Linked DNA regions of Tamandua tetradactyla. The protein of the gene in region 1 interacts with the protein of each later gene in a biochemical or structural test. Links are inferred from orthologs where the notes say so. Each region holds a gene or a part of one and is shown in the gene's direction. Other genes may lie near its edges.

Region 1 (7,535 bases):
TTTGTATATATGTTATATTTCACAATAAAAAATTAAAAAAAAAACCAGCCAATATGGTTGCTGGTGTCTACTGTCTGAATACCAGCTCCGCATTCTCTCCCTTCTACTGCCCTAGGCTGCAGATGCAACTCCAGCATCCTCACCCCTCCCCCACTGGGGACACACAGTGTTGACTTCCTCAGGGTATGAGCTTTCCTGATCCTCTCACAAAAATATTCAGGAATTTATTCAGGATTCTGTGGAAACGTAACAGAGCCACATCCTTCCACCACCTGAAATTACATGCTGCCTTCCAGAGAGCTGATGCAATAAATGATAAAAAGGTGAAATATAACACTGTATTCCAAACTTCTGTCTCCGGAAGCTCCAGGTCAGCTCTCACTCTTCTCCTCAGGATGTTCTTGTGTTAATGTTAAATGATACCTCAGTTTCCCCAATTGTAAGGTGAGGATACCTAACTAGCAAGGCTGACATGTGGATACAATTTCACGTCGCCATATGTACAGTGACGAGCACTTACCACGCACTTCATAAACGGTTGATCATAGGTTTGTACACTAAGTGGTCAAAGTACTCAGGGCGTTGTGAAGCAAGCTTAGTCAGAGCATGGAATTTCAGAGACCTGTGAGTGGGGATAGGAAAAACCTATGTCTTTTGTTTCACACAACTCACACTTAAATTGAGCATATCCTTCAATTAGGAGTCTACGCAGGAAACCACAGTAATATTAGCTTAGCACTACATGTGAGGGTGTCACCGACAAATATTTTATATCATGTCACATTTGTATCAGATTTCTCAAGTATCATTTATGCTCATCACCTTGAAATTATGAAAACCAGAGGCTCAGAAGACATAGTATTTATAACGGGTACCCTGCCTGCCAGCCTCCATGAAAGATCCACCCCCGGTTTGCACAGCTTGCAAATCCCTGGGTCAGTCCTTCCATCCAGGTCTGCTAACCCAGAAGTAAGCAACACTTTGTTGGCTCAGGCTGAGCAAATGTACTTACTTAGAGAGAGAAAAGGTATTTCCCTGCATAAATTAGTCTACAAGTCCAAGGAGCCTTCCCAGCTTGGAACTGTACATATGAGTGAGGTTTGGACATGCTTTCCAGCTACTCTTCCACAGGACACCTTCTCTGTTTATGGGTAGTCTCTTTATGCAGGCTTCCCTCTGCTGACAAAGGGTAAGGTTAGGAGGGGGTGGGTAGCTGGGGCTGGGGCCTCAACTGAGGGCCCAACATGTGCCTCCTCAGAGATGCTGGCTGGGTCTGGCGTGCCCTGCCGGGGAGTTGTCACTGTACCCTGAAAGGCCCCTCCCTCCAGATCTGTGGGATCAAAGGAGGCTTCCTGGAGGAGGCGACACTTGAGCTGCATCTAAAGGACAGAGAATCCAGGAGGGAGATCCGATCCTTGGAGGCTGGTCTAGACTGAGGCACACTCTGGAGATGTGGTAGGGGCAGGACCTCTGGGGGTGAATTTGGAGACAAGGTGGAATCCTGAGGACCTGCTTCCTCCTCTGTTGTACCCCTCTCTGTGCTCTACTCTTAAGGGGTAGACCATCAGAATCACAAGGCTCGGTGGGTGGAGCAGGACAGTATGTGGGGGCAATAACTGGCTGTTTTTCAGGTGGGAGTGGCACTGCTCAGACCTCCAGGGCCACTGAACTCTCCTTACCAGCATGCTGCCAAAGAAGGGACACGCAAGACAGAAGATAATTCACATGTGGGGGATGAGAACAAGGGAAGCAGGACGGACTGTCTCTCAGGACACCAAGGACCTTCATGTTCCCCTTTGCCACCCACCCACTCACCAGTAGGATGACAGGGCAACTTCTCTCTCTAGCTCCTCCTCCTCCCCTTAATATCTGCCTGGCCACCCACTAAAGTGACTCCATTTCTGCCTCTCTTTACCCCACTGCCGCCTTTTGTGTCGTCCTTCAACCCCTGGTGCATGTTGCATAAATCCTTAATATGTAAACACATCCAAAATTCCATGAGGTCAAAACTTTGCATCTTTTTTCTTTTTTTTCACACTGAAAGTGCTATGAAAACTCCAGAGGAAGACAAATTAATGTGCCAAAGGCCACCTAAATTTCAAGGGATCTCTACTGTGTACAGAGTGATGGAAAATTCCAGCATGGAAAGAATAAGCCTTCCCTCCCTTGTTGGGGCCCTCCAGTTAGAACCATGAGAGTGCCAGCATCTTTTCCACTCAGCTACACAGTGTCTGGCTGACCTGTGGACCAGGTATCTGTGGATTTGAAGTGTACTCGGGCTTTTTGCTGCATTGCCATGATTTTAGAGGTCTTGGTGTTTCTTAGCTAGCAAAGAACAGCCAAATTAAAGCAGCTCTTTTTTTATTTGGGTAAACTGAGACTTAGATGTGAGGAGTAGCTCCTCCAAGGCTATAACACAGCTGGAAATGGTGGGAATAATTATAAAAACACAGTTCTCTGAATTCCCATGCAATCACTCCTGCAATCAAATTTATCAAAGAACGTTGATTCTTACTTGAGCTTCTCAGCTTATATTTGGTGTGGGGGAGAAAATTTAGGGGCATGCTTCTCTCCAAGGTCATGTGAGTCCTGCACTCAGTCAGAAAAATCAAATAGGTTAGTCCTTGTTCCTAAAATCTTTATACATCTTTTGTGGAAAAGAATCTACTTGATGACACTTCTATGCCTTAGAGTTCTAGTTCATCCTATTTCTGAGTTTTAGAGAGAAGAGACATGACTTTCCTAGACACTTTGAATGTAGCATTGAACATTCTTAATAGTCTATTCTTCAGATAGGATAGGAATTGCAACAAGCCCTGGAGATAACAACTCTATGGGGGTTGTGTCTTGGATCCTCTAATTTTGAAAAGGAAGGAAAATTCTCTTGGGCAATCAACTCCTTGAGGACAGAAGTCCTTTTACTTACTGTTTCTCACACCACAACCTTGTGCAGTTGTACAATTAAGGGACTGTTGTACTTTTGTTGAATGCATTGCCATGTATATGATCTGCTTAGTTGGGGTGATCAGGTTAACTAAGTAATAACTTTAAGAGGGCTTGGAAATAGACAATCGATTTCTTTTTCATTGTTGTATGTATAGTTATAGTATATACATATATGCAGGATGGGTGCTGAGAGACTTGTGAAAGTAAAACTCTTTTTACATATAATATGTGTGCCAGTTTGAAAGGATGTCTGTGCCCTAGAAAAGCCATGTTTTAATCCTAATCCCATTTTGTAAAAGCAGCCGTTTCTTCTAATCCCTAATCAGAACTGTATGTTTGAAACTGTAATTAGATCATCTCTCTTGAGATGTGAGTCAATCAAGAGTGGTTGTTAAACTGGATTAGGTGGAGTCTCCATCCGTTCTAGGCTGGTCTTGATTACTTTACTGGAATCCTATAAAAGAGGAAACATTTTGGAGAAAGGAGGAGATTCAGAGAGAACAGAGAAGAATGACAGAGCCATGAGAAAGACACGACAGCGAACGATGAGAGAGAAAGCCAGGAGATACAGAGAGAGCAAAAAAGAAGGACACAGCCACTAGAAGCAGAGAGTCCACCAGCCAGCCACTGTGTTCGCCATGTGCCTTTCCAGATGAGAGAGAAATCCTGATGGTGTTTGCCATGCGCCTTTCCACTTGAGAAAGAAACCTGGAACTTCATTAGCCTTCTTGAATCAAGGTATCTTTCCCTGGATGCCTTAGATTGGACATTTCTATAGACCTGTTTTAATTGGGACATTTTCTCAGCCTTAAAAACTGTTAACTCGCAACTTATTAAATTCCCCCTTTTTAAAAATTTTTATTTTTATTTATTTATTTTTGCATGGGCAGGCACCAGGAATCAAAGCAGGTCTCAAGCATGGCAGGCAAGAATTCTGCCACAAAGCCACCATGGCCCGCCCATAAATTCCCCCTTTTTAAAAGCCATTCCATTTCTGGTATATTGCATTTCCCCAGGGAGCTAACCAGAACACTGACTTAGTGTTCTTCACAGGTTAGTACTATAATTATCATTTTTTTGGTTTGTTTTACAGATGACACAATTAAGGTGCAGGGCAGTTCATTTTTATCTGAGGTCACACAGCTAACAAGTGCCTAACTCAGGTGTATTTGAACCTGAAGCCCATGCTTATGTTTCCTCTCCTTCACACTCCAGGGTAACATCTCTCCTTCTCTACTTACTTCTACAGACTAGATTCTGATAGTTCCCTGAAGGATTCAGGCTTGGGGAGCTAGCTGTCTTCCCAGCAATCACCCACCCCTATCCCACGGAATCTTTTCCCTGGTGATCCTGGGCCTGGAATCAGGTGAGGCCCGAACCTCCATTCCAGGGGCTTTCTCGTTATTCTGTCACCCTTGTTACCTTAAGCAGAGTGAGGGTTTGTCTGCTTTCACGGGACAGCGGCGCCATTCATCACTGCCGGAGGGCAGGATCCAGGGCTAGGGGCCACACGTGGAGAGGGGAGGGGCCAAGGGGCGGCCCTCTTGTGACCAGCCCTGAGGATAAGGCCAGGAGAGGCTGGCTGAGGAGTGGTCGGTCAGCAGCAACTGCTGATGCTCTGTATCACACGCCTGGGGTCCACGGTAATCCAGACCTTTAAACAAATAGCTGGGCTGCGTGTGTGGCGGGGGCGAGGAGAGCGGATTTTTCAGGGGTCGCGCACTTAAAGAAGGGGTGGCTATGGGGTTGGTTAATGCTGGGAGGGCGTGAGAAGGAACCAGGATTACAGGCGGAACCGCAGGAAAGGAGGGCGCTGAAGCAAGAGAGAGGGTGTGAGAGGGAGCAGAAGAGGGAAAGAGCCTAAGAAGACGTAGGAGTGTGGCTGACCGACTCAAAGACAGTGCGCGCCTGTGTGCAGGGACGAAAGGTGGAACACACCGGCCCCAGAAGCATAGTTAAGATAAGAGCAGGGAGAAGCTTTCTTCTCCTGTGCCCATTTTCCAAGTGACTCCCTTTCAGCCATTTTTAAGGTAAAATGTTAACTCAAATGTGAGTGTGTGTGTGTGTGTGATTTCTATTTTTGCATTTTGTTTTTTAGTATATAAGGAAAGAACGTCAGAGGAAGCTGTATGAAAGTGAGGCTGCACGAGGCGCAGAGAACGCAGTTAGAGGGTGACGCCTTTTTAAAAAGAAGTTTCCATGTTTCTCCTCCCAAAAGCTCAGGCTGAGTCCCGCCGCAGGATCTGATCGCCTTTAAACCAGGTAACTTCCTCCGTATCCACCCCAGTTCCCGGAGCCAGTCAGAGTGGAGGGGGTGGAGCCCGCAGCTGCATCGGGCTGAGCTCGAAGGCGGATGGAAGGGGTCCCTGGAGCATAAACTGAGCACCGCGGCCTTGATGCTAGGCATGTCACTCATAGAAGTCCCTGTCTCATTCCAGCTACAATCGCAGCTCGAATCCAGACGTCCATCTCCTTAGGCGGGGCGGTGAGGTGATGGCCCAGATACCAGAAGTTTCCATGTCCTCCGGTTCAGCGGTCCTCCCGAGCTTGGAAGCTGGAGGTGGAGCTTTGCTTGAGGTGGCTGAAAAGGCGGGGGGAATGGAGGAGGAGGCAGTAAGGGTGGCGAAGGCATGTTCTGGCCAGGGAGCTGAGAAGAGCAAGCTGGAATCATTACAAGAGCATAAGCCTGATCCTGACGAGAACTTGACACGGAGCGGTGACGGCGAGGAGAAGGTGCTCTTTACAATCCACCCTCGCTGTCATAGCAGCGCCTCGCCGGTTTGCCCACGCCGCAAGCCCCGCCCTCGGCCCCAGCCCTGGGCACGCTCCCGAGGCCCTTCCAGGCCCTCAGACCCTCCCCCGCCTCCAGTCCGTCCCCTGCTACCGCCCCTCCCCCTGCCTTCGCTCCCGCCCCCACCCTGGCTGGGGCGCAGATCCAGGCGGAGATCACAACCCAGGTCCGTGCCGCAGATATGGCGAGGCTGTTCTGGTGAGCTAGGCAGCTCTGGGGATCGAGATGGCTCAGGGGGCTGGTTGCTGGAGATGGAGTTTGATAAGGGTCCTATAGGATGTTGTCATGTAGAGAGTTTTAAAGTGGTTAAGAACTGGCAGAAGAACCTGCGGTTGATCTACCAGCGTTTCGTTTGGAGCGGGACCCCGGAGACTAGGAAACGTAAAGCAAAGTCGTGCATCTGTCGTGTATGTAGTACCCATATGAACAGGCTCCACTCTTGTCTCTCCTGTGTCTTTTTTGGCTGCTTTGCTGAAAAACATATTCACAAACATGCAGAAACAAAACAGCACAATTTAGCTATCGACCTCTATCATGGAGTTATATATTGCTTTATATGTAAGGATTATGTATATGACAAGGACATAGAACGGATTGCCAAAGATACAAAAGAAAAAAATTTGAAGTTACTAACTTCCACCTCAACAGACGTTTCTCAACAACAGTATATGACATCAGGTGTTAAAGAGAAGCAATCAACCTGTGAGTCAAAGGAACAGGAGCCAAAATTTGTGAAACCCAAGAAAAAGAGGAGAAAAAAGTCAGTTTATACTGTAGGTCTGAGGGGGCTAATCAATCTTGGAAATACCTGCTTTATGAACTGTGTTGTCCAGGCACTTACCCACATTCCTCTATTGAAAGATTTCTTCCTCTCTGACAAGCACAAATGTATAATGACAAGCCCCGGCTTGTGTCTGGTCTGTGAAATGTCTTCACTTTTTCAGGCTATGTACTCTGGGAGCCGAACTCCTCATATTCCCTATAAGTTATTGCACCTGATATGGATTCATGCAGAACATTTAGCAGGGTACAGGCAACAGGATGCCCATGAGTTCCTTATTGCAATATTAGATGTGCTGCATAGACACAGCAAAGATGATAGTGTTGCACAAGAAGCCAATAACCCCAACTGTTGTAACTGTATCATTGACCAAATCTTCACAGGTGGCCTCCAGTCAGACGTCACATGTCAAACCTGCCACAGCATCTCCACTACAATTGACCCATGCTGGGACATCAGTTTGGACTTGCCTGGTTCTTGTGCCACATTCACTTCCCAGAGCCCAGAGAAGGCTGACAGCGCAGTAAGAAGGGATGATCACATACCAGGAATCCCCTCTCTCACAGACTGCCTACAGTGGTTTACAAGACCAGAGCACCTAGGAAGCAGTGCCAAAATCAAATGCAGTAGTTGTCAAAGCTACCAAGAATCTACCAAACAGCTCACAATGAAGAAATTACCTGCTGTGGCCTGTTTTCATCTCAAACGGTTTGAACATGTAGGTAAACAGAGACGAAAGATTAATACTTTTATCTCCTTTCCCTTGGAGCTGGACATGACTCCATTTTTGGCCTCCACTAAAGAGAGCAGAATGAAAGGCCAGCCAGCAACAGACTGTTTGCCCAATGAGAATAAGTATTCCTTGTTTGCAGTGATTAATCACCATGGAACTTTGGAAAGTGGGCACTATACTAGCTTTATCCGGCAACAAAAGGACCAGTGGTTCAGCTGTGATGATGCCATCATCACCAAAGCTACCATTGAAGACTTACTTTACAGTGAAGGATATTTACTGTT
Region 2 (7,400 bases), on another chromosome or scaffold:
AATGTTTTCATGTGAGTTTAACAAAATGGTGGCATATTTACAACCTCTTACTGATAGCAAATATTTTAAATACATATACTGTGAGGAAGGAACAATGGCAGGGATTGGAACTAAGGAGCTGTAGAATACATAAGGCTAAGGCTGGTGATCACAGAAATAGCCATACTCTGTAACAAAACCCATCAGCTGCTAAAAGAAGTCAAGATGCCAGAGAAACGAAATCCATGGAGACAAAAGGCAGAAAACAGCAGTAGAAACCAGATATCTGACCACTGATACCATGGTTATTACTTAAAACTCAACTCAAATTCAAAATATGCATGTTGTCTCCCTACTGCAAATTTAAGTATATGAAAAAATAAAAGATTATTCATGTTCATAAGTAATATCAATAATAGAAACTATAATCTATTGTCTGTGGAGGAGGCCTCTGAAAGTAACCTATTTTAATTATTGTGATTTTTTATGGAAAAGATTAGTTTTATTTTTGGATGTTCACTCACATCCTACAAACATCTCTATGTTTATACCTGTATCTCTATTAGACATTTTCCTGAAAAATTGTTCCCCAAATAAAAAGCTCCATGCGTTACCATTTCATCACCATATTAAAAACAGGAGTCTTATTCTTAAAAGGAGAAAACTTTTAATAAAATCATGTGCTTGGAAAAGGCTTTGTCCCTATTATCACCTCCTGGGAAGCCTTATTAGAAGTTGGGCGGGCCCTGAGAACAGCTGTCAGCTCTGCATCATGGGTAAGTCAGGTTTCCTTCCTGTCTCAACCATCCTAGAACGTGGTGAACTGCAGCAGTGGCATAGCCATTGCCCTCGTCTGTCCGACTGTGAACCACACACCCAGAATCACTACTGGTCCAGGGAAGAGTAACCACTCTAGGGAACTTCAAATTCTGTACCCTAAAGGATCCCGTGACAAATTTATTCTTTCTTTTTCAAAGCTTTAAGATGAAAATTACACATTGAATTAAGAGCAGTATCAGGTTAGCCTTCCACAAAATATAACCAATTCTCTGCTCTGATGAGGAACATATAATTGTTCCCTAAATTGTACTTCAACTTGATCAGGAAGTGAGGTGCATGGAAAGCATATGCTAGGTATGGAACAGCAAGATCAGTATTTGATACAAAGTAATTTTATGTCGAATTTCATGCTAACTTATAGCACAATTCTTTCATGGAAAGCCAACAGCAGGTGCAAAAGGTTTATGAAAAATGTATAGAAACAAATTCAATATTGAAAACATTCTACCCATTTCCATTTTTCCAAGAAAATTTGGAAAAGATTAGAGCAATTCATTTTTAGCAGAATACCTCTCCTTCGGCATACGCAGTACGAGGAGCAAAGCTTGAAACCAGGGTATCAAAGTATTTATACAATTAGGCAGTAGGCTATATATTTAATCTAGTACATAGCAAACATACATGTAGATTATTTCATCAATTATATATGTACAAAATCACTACATATTTATACTCCATTGATTTAAATATAGTATATTGAAAATATGTTGTACACTAGCATGAAAACTACTAAAAATAAAGCCTCACCTTTTGATTGAAATAAACCTAAAGCCTAATGAATGTTTTTTGTAAATTGATTCTAAAGGTTTTTTCCAATTCTCTATGAGCTAAGAAACAACCATCACACATATATCAGGTTTACAGCAGCAATTTATTGAGATCACTTTTGTTCTTGCCAGACTAGATTTCAATAATTTCTTAAACATTAAATAAAGGTATTCAGAAAATATTCAACTTGTTTATATATATATATATATATATATATATATATATATATATATATATATAAAACAAATTTTGTTTGAAAAGATTTGTGCATATTTTAAAAATAGCAGAGTTAATCATTTGGGAAAATGATTATAGAGAAACTAATTTCAAGAATGATTAGTTTGGAAATAAGGCAGAATATAAATGAGAATACCTTTCACGTCCATGATTTCAACAATTCCTAAGAATCAATGTGATGGAGACAGATAAACAACACTCATTTTGTAGCCAAGAACAGACTCAGAAAATGTGAACAATATTCATTTATTTAAGAAATATTAATTGAGCATCTACTATGTGGTTAGGTGCTCTGCTATGTGCTGAGGGCATAGAAATGAAGGAGTTAAAGTCTGGCCCAAGATAACTAAACTAGTCCACAGCTGATGTAAGGAAAAAAATGACTTCTACTCAGTTTGTCCCTCCACTTCTTTCTGTACAATTCATTTCATGGTAAAGACAAACACCGAAGGAGCTTAGTAGGGCAGTAGTGGATGGGCACTTGAGAAAGAGAAAACAATATGTGTGACGCTTCTTAAGTTTAAGGGTAGGTTAAGGTGTGTGGTAGAGTTGGAGAGTATTTTTCCCCTGCCTTTCTGACCATAACTCAGGGTAGCTGTAAAAGTTGTAGAAAGGGGAAGAAATTCTGGCAAAAGATAAAGTCTGCAACATGATTCAAAGGCAACTGAATCACACTATATATCATCTAAGAGAAGAAAAAATGACCACTGGTCCTTGCAAAGCAAGGGTGCCAGCATATATACAAGCCTGTCATTGAGCATGACTAAATCGAGAGCTGCCTGTCTTAAAATGATCATTAAGAATGAGTCTAGTTCCGGGGTTGGAAATGAGAACAGATACATAAACACAATGTACAGGAAAGAATATTTACAGTCATTCATGAACCAATAAATAGTATTTACTTCTCAAAATGCCAATGCAAATGTGGGAAATAATTTTCTCATCTATATTCAGGATTTGCGTTCTAATTTGAAATGACCAGACTTTGGCCATACATTTATTTCACTTGAAAGGTTTCATGAGATCAGGTGGGTGCTTACCACATAAATTTTAACATAATAAAGAATCCTGTCATAAGCACGGCAAAAATCGTTAAGTATAATTTATTGAGCACCTACAATGTGCCAACACTGTTGGATAATTTACGTCATTTTTCATACTCTGATATGCTACCTTTCAGTTTTCTTAATTTCTCTATCAACAACTCTTGTTCATTTATAACTATATTTACTGAAACACATCTTAGCTCCATGCATTCCACAAAGTTGGTTTCAAATACAACTTCAAGTATTCCCTCACTTGAAATGAGGGAGGGGGCAGAAGGGGAAATCTAAATCCTGCTGATTACTTAAAGACTTACTTTCTTGGTACGGGTGGTATTATCTATATTGCTTCTTCAGAAATCCCCAACTTGTACAAAGTCAAGGACTTAAGATAAGATCAGCATTCTATCAGTCTCAGAGACCACATTTGTCAGCCTTTGTTTCTTGCCTTAACGTCCTAAACATGGATAACTGCCCCTTAAGGTAGTAAATCACTGCAGGTTAATACCTTAACTCTAAGCCTTGACCCCTACAATCCGGTCGGTCTACCCTGAGAAGAGAGCAGGGAGGAGAGCTGAGGGCGGAGAGCAGGGCGGGGGCGGCCGAGGTGACAGCAGGTGAGAGCCCGGTGCGGATGGGGAAGTGAGACAGGGCCAGCGCGGCTATTACTCATTCCGTCCTAGAGCCGCGGGTGCTTACAAGCGGAACTTCTCGCCTCTCTTTCGGTCCAGATGAAGTTCAATCACACAGCAGTCACTTCCCATCGCGGTGGGCCTGGGGGAAAACCGTGCGCGTGCGTCAGGCCTGCGGGAGGCAGGTAGCCTCCCGCCACCCCCACCCCGTGACGCCGCGTGTCCCCAGGGCCGCCGCCCAGCTTCCCGGGTCGGTGCCCCTCCACCTCGCGAGCCGTGGGAACACGCCGCGCGGCTCTCTCCCCGATCCGGGGTGCGCAAGGCGGCCGAGCGAGCCGCCCGGGCCTGACTCCAGGAAGAGCGAGGGCAGGTTGCTCAGCCTGGCCGAGGGGCGGCTCTGCGGGCGCGGAGTCCGGAGCTCTAAGAGCCAGACGCGTACGTGCCCCCGGCGGCCGCGGCGGGTGTGGCCAGCCCGAGGCAGAGAGCCACGGAGCCTCCTACCTTTCCCGCTCTGACAGCCGGCCACCCCCCACCCCTTCCGATCCCGACCCCGCCATTTCCCCGGCGCCCGCGTCCCACTCTCCCCGTCCCACGACACCTGAGGAAAACTTTTCCCTCTTCCCTCGATTCAAACTCCGCAGAGTCTACGGTTGCCGCAAACCGCCCTCTCCCTAGCAACAAGGTTCCGGCCGTAGAGCGAGCGCCTCTAGGTGTAAGGAAGGTGATGTCGTAAAGCCGCGAGTGTCGTAAACCAGGTGCGGTGGGGAGGGGGAGGGGTGGAGGCGGAGGGGTGGGGGGGAAGGGGGAGGGAGGGAGGGGGAGGAGGTGACTCGAGCATTTAGACACAAGCGAGAGGATCATGGCGGATGGCCCCAGGTGTAAGCGCAGAAAGCAGGCGAACCCGCGGCGCAATAACGGTGAGTGGCGGAGGGGACCGGGGAGCGGCGGAGTCAGGGGGAGCCGGGCAGCCGGGGCGCCCCTGGGGGTGAGGGGGGCGAGCCGGGCCGGGGGCTGCCGGGGCAGGGACGGGCCAAGTGGAGTGGGAAAGTAGAAAGTAGTGCTGTCTGCCCCCCTCGGCCGCCGCCGCCGCTGCCGAGCCGCGCCGCGGCTGCTAGCTCTCCCTGAACCGTTATGTCTCTTACCTGGCCTCTCCGCCTAGCGGCTCCCGCCGCCCTGCTGCTCCCTGGACCGTTAGCCGCCGCGCCGCATCCCCGGCGCCGGGAGGCCGGCGGGCACTTTTCGGTCCCGGGGGGAGCGGCTGTTGCTTCTTTCCGCACTTTTCCCCACTCTTTTCCCCCCACCCTCGCGCCCCTCTCGTCCCCTCCCCCGGGGCCCCTCCGCCTTATTCCCCCTCAGCGCCGAGGCCCCGGCGCCCAGGGCAAACTTGTCCCCGCGCCTCCCTGGGAGCGCGGCCCGGGCAGTCGCTCGGGCCCCCGGCGCGCGGGCGGGACGGGGCGGCCCGCGGGGTGCGTGTCCGGGGGCGCGCGTGTGTGTGTGCGCCGGCGCCGGGGGTGCGCGCCGCGGGCGGACGGGCTCGGGCGGCGGCGGCAAAGTTGTGACCCGGGGCGCGGCGCGCTCGCGGGGTCGGCCCCGGCGCGGAAGGCGCGGGGCCCTGGGCGCCCACCTCCCCCTACCCCCACCTCCCCGCGCGCGAGCCGAGCCCCGAGACGCGTTCACTCCGTGGGGAGGGCCGCTGGGCAGGGACGGGCACCTACTTGCTGCTGCCTGGGAAATCTCGGGAGGGCGGCTGGCGCGGCGCCCGGGGGTGTTGGCGGAGTTATGCCCTGGTCCTAGAGACGGGGGAGCGGTGCGGACAGCTCCCCCTCCCTGGGGGCACGCGCTCTCGGCGCAGGGACGGGGTTCGGTGCGGGCGCTTCTCTTTTTTCTCTTTCGGTTTTTGGGGAAGTTGTTACCTGGGCCGGACGCGCGGAGCGCTGAAGCCGGATAATAGAGCTTGGCCGGCGCTCTCGGTCTCGGGTGGAGAAGAGGAGTGGGGGAGGGGCAGACGGACCGACGGACAGACGTCTCCGTAGCTCTCGCAGCCGCAGTGTTTATTGATTTGTGTTGATTTGCCGGGGCAACACACACGCACACGCATACACACATACACACACACCGGCCTGGCGTGAGAGTTAAAAAGAGAGCGCGAGAGCCCCGTACGTATGCTTTTGGGTGTACAGTCGCGTTTTCCAGTTTGGAGCGACGTTGCAAGTTGATTGCGTCCCTGCTCATCTCGGCCGTGGCGGTGGCCTTTCTCTCGCTCTTCTCCAGCAGCCCGAGGTCCGCTGGGTTTTATTGTCTGGAGAGTTGATCCGGCGAGCGGGGCGAGACTGGGGCGCGGGGGCGGCGGGCGCGCCGGGGCGAGGTGCCCCCGCGCGTCCCCGCGCGGTACCTGTTTGTATAATAATGGGCGGTAACGGCCCGCGGGCCCTGCCTGCTGCCGCCGGCCCAGGCTATATAAGGAATTTCACGGGTGGCTTGGGCCGGGGGGCTTACCCCGGGGCCTGCTTGGGTTTGAAAACGAGTTTGTAGGAGTGGGGAAATACGTACGCGCCGGGTGAAATCGCCGCGTCGTGCAGAAAATAAGGAAATGTGTGTTTCAGGGAAAACTCGCGCGCGCCGTCCCCCGCCCCCCGCGCCTGCTCTCTTTCTCCCTCCCCTCCGGGATGCGAAACGCAAGGTTTTGTAACCTTTCCTGGCAATTTTAGATTTTGTGTGGGATTTCCTGTCTGGAGGCAGCTACGAAGATTTTAAGCTGTGCCAAGATGTTTCCTTCCAATCGTAAACGTATTTTTAATATATTTGAGCCTACATTAAAATCACTGCTTTAAGGAATGATTTTAGATATTTGAATAAACACTGGCATTTTAAATACATCTGTTAGTTGTGATTGAAAGGTGTGTTTCGTGTCCTCATTGTAGAGCGATGACTTGTTACAGCACGGAGCGGTGCATAGGCTATTGCAATTTTAATTTCCTGTTTTAGCGTCAAATAGTGCGCGTTCTATATTGAGCTGTTGCCGCCGTTGCTGATGTGGCTTTATGAAAGGTAAGTTGGCTTGGAAAGTGCTGTTCGTTTTTTACCTTATTTAAAATGTTGATCGTCAAAGAAAGGGGCTTTTCTTGGTGCTGACGACATGTGTGTGACATGCGAGTCTGAACCACCCCGCGTTTGTGCAGCTGCTGTAAACATGTTTACCTGAACAGCATAGAATGGATTTTTCTCCTAAAGATCCCGTGATAGGAATATTACACTCGTAAGGCATATCAACAGATGACTTACGGGGGAAAAAAGCGATCCTGAAAGGGACTTGAAATCTACAGGAAAAAGAGGCTCTTGATCGCTGCAGCAAATGGCAACTTGTGCAGGTAGAAAAAAGATGGTGTTTAGTTTTCTCCTGCTTGTATGTCAGCCCCCTCCTGTCTGCTGCTTTCATTCTCAAGGGAGGGATTTATTTACCACGCTTGCTGTCAGTGTTTTTCCTTTGTGTTTAGTATTAGAAAAACAGATTTGGGGCTCTTTAGCACAAAACGTCTTGTCTGTGGTATGCATTACTCCCAGAAAACAAAAGGTGTTTAAGATAGTACCGTACCAGTACAGGTATCTTCCATTTTCATCACTTTTGGCTCTGTCCTTGTATTTCTTTTTGTTCTCAAATGCATCTTATCCACCGCTGATGATTATAGCCATGTTATTTGATTTAACCTTTTATTTTGCAAATGAAAAATGAAGTTATATGCCATTGTGTTGTGAAACCTCAGGATAAGTACTGGTTAATATTTATTAGCAACGCAGTCATGTTTAAGTTGCAGATGTTTATTGGAGAGAATCGCCTAGAAAAAAAAATGTTAACCCTTAAATCCTTTTAGTGAAGAAATAAGTGATGCATTGGGTGGTATAG

What was found. The genes of interacting proteins can lie anywhere in the genome.
Region 2: the proteins of USP51 (region 1) and ZEB1 form a complex in vitro, tested with the Homo sapiens proteins (2 studies listed by BioGRID). The link is inferred for Tamandua tetradactyla from reciprocal best matches to the Homo sapiens genes USP51 and ZEB1.

The regions. Positions count from the first base shown.
Region 1 is NC_135353.1:113,253,580-113,261,114, reverse strand, and holds the start of USP51 (ubiquitin carboxyl-terminal hydrolase 51), read left to right. Parts: upstream 1-4,486; 5' UTR 4,487-4,589; intron 4,590-5,044; 5' UTR 5,045-5,208; intron 5,209-5,384; 5' UTR 5,385-5,439; coding exon 5,440-7,535.
Region 2 is NC_135327.1:219,860,489-219,867,888, reverse strand, and holds the start of ZEB1 (zinc finger E-box-binding homeobox 1), read left to right. Parts: upstream 1-4,312; 5' UTR 4,313-4,358; coding exon 4,359-4,416; intron 4,417-5,905; exon of another isoform or gene 5,906-6,540; coding exon of another isoform or gene 6,541-6,547; intron 6,548-7,400. UniProt on the Homo sapiens protein: Acts as a transcriptional repressor. Inhibits interleukin-2 (IL-2) gene expression. Enhances or represses the promoter activity of the ATP1A1 gene depending on the quantity of cDNA and on the cell type.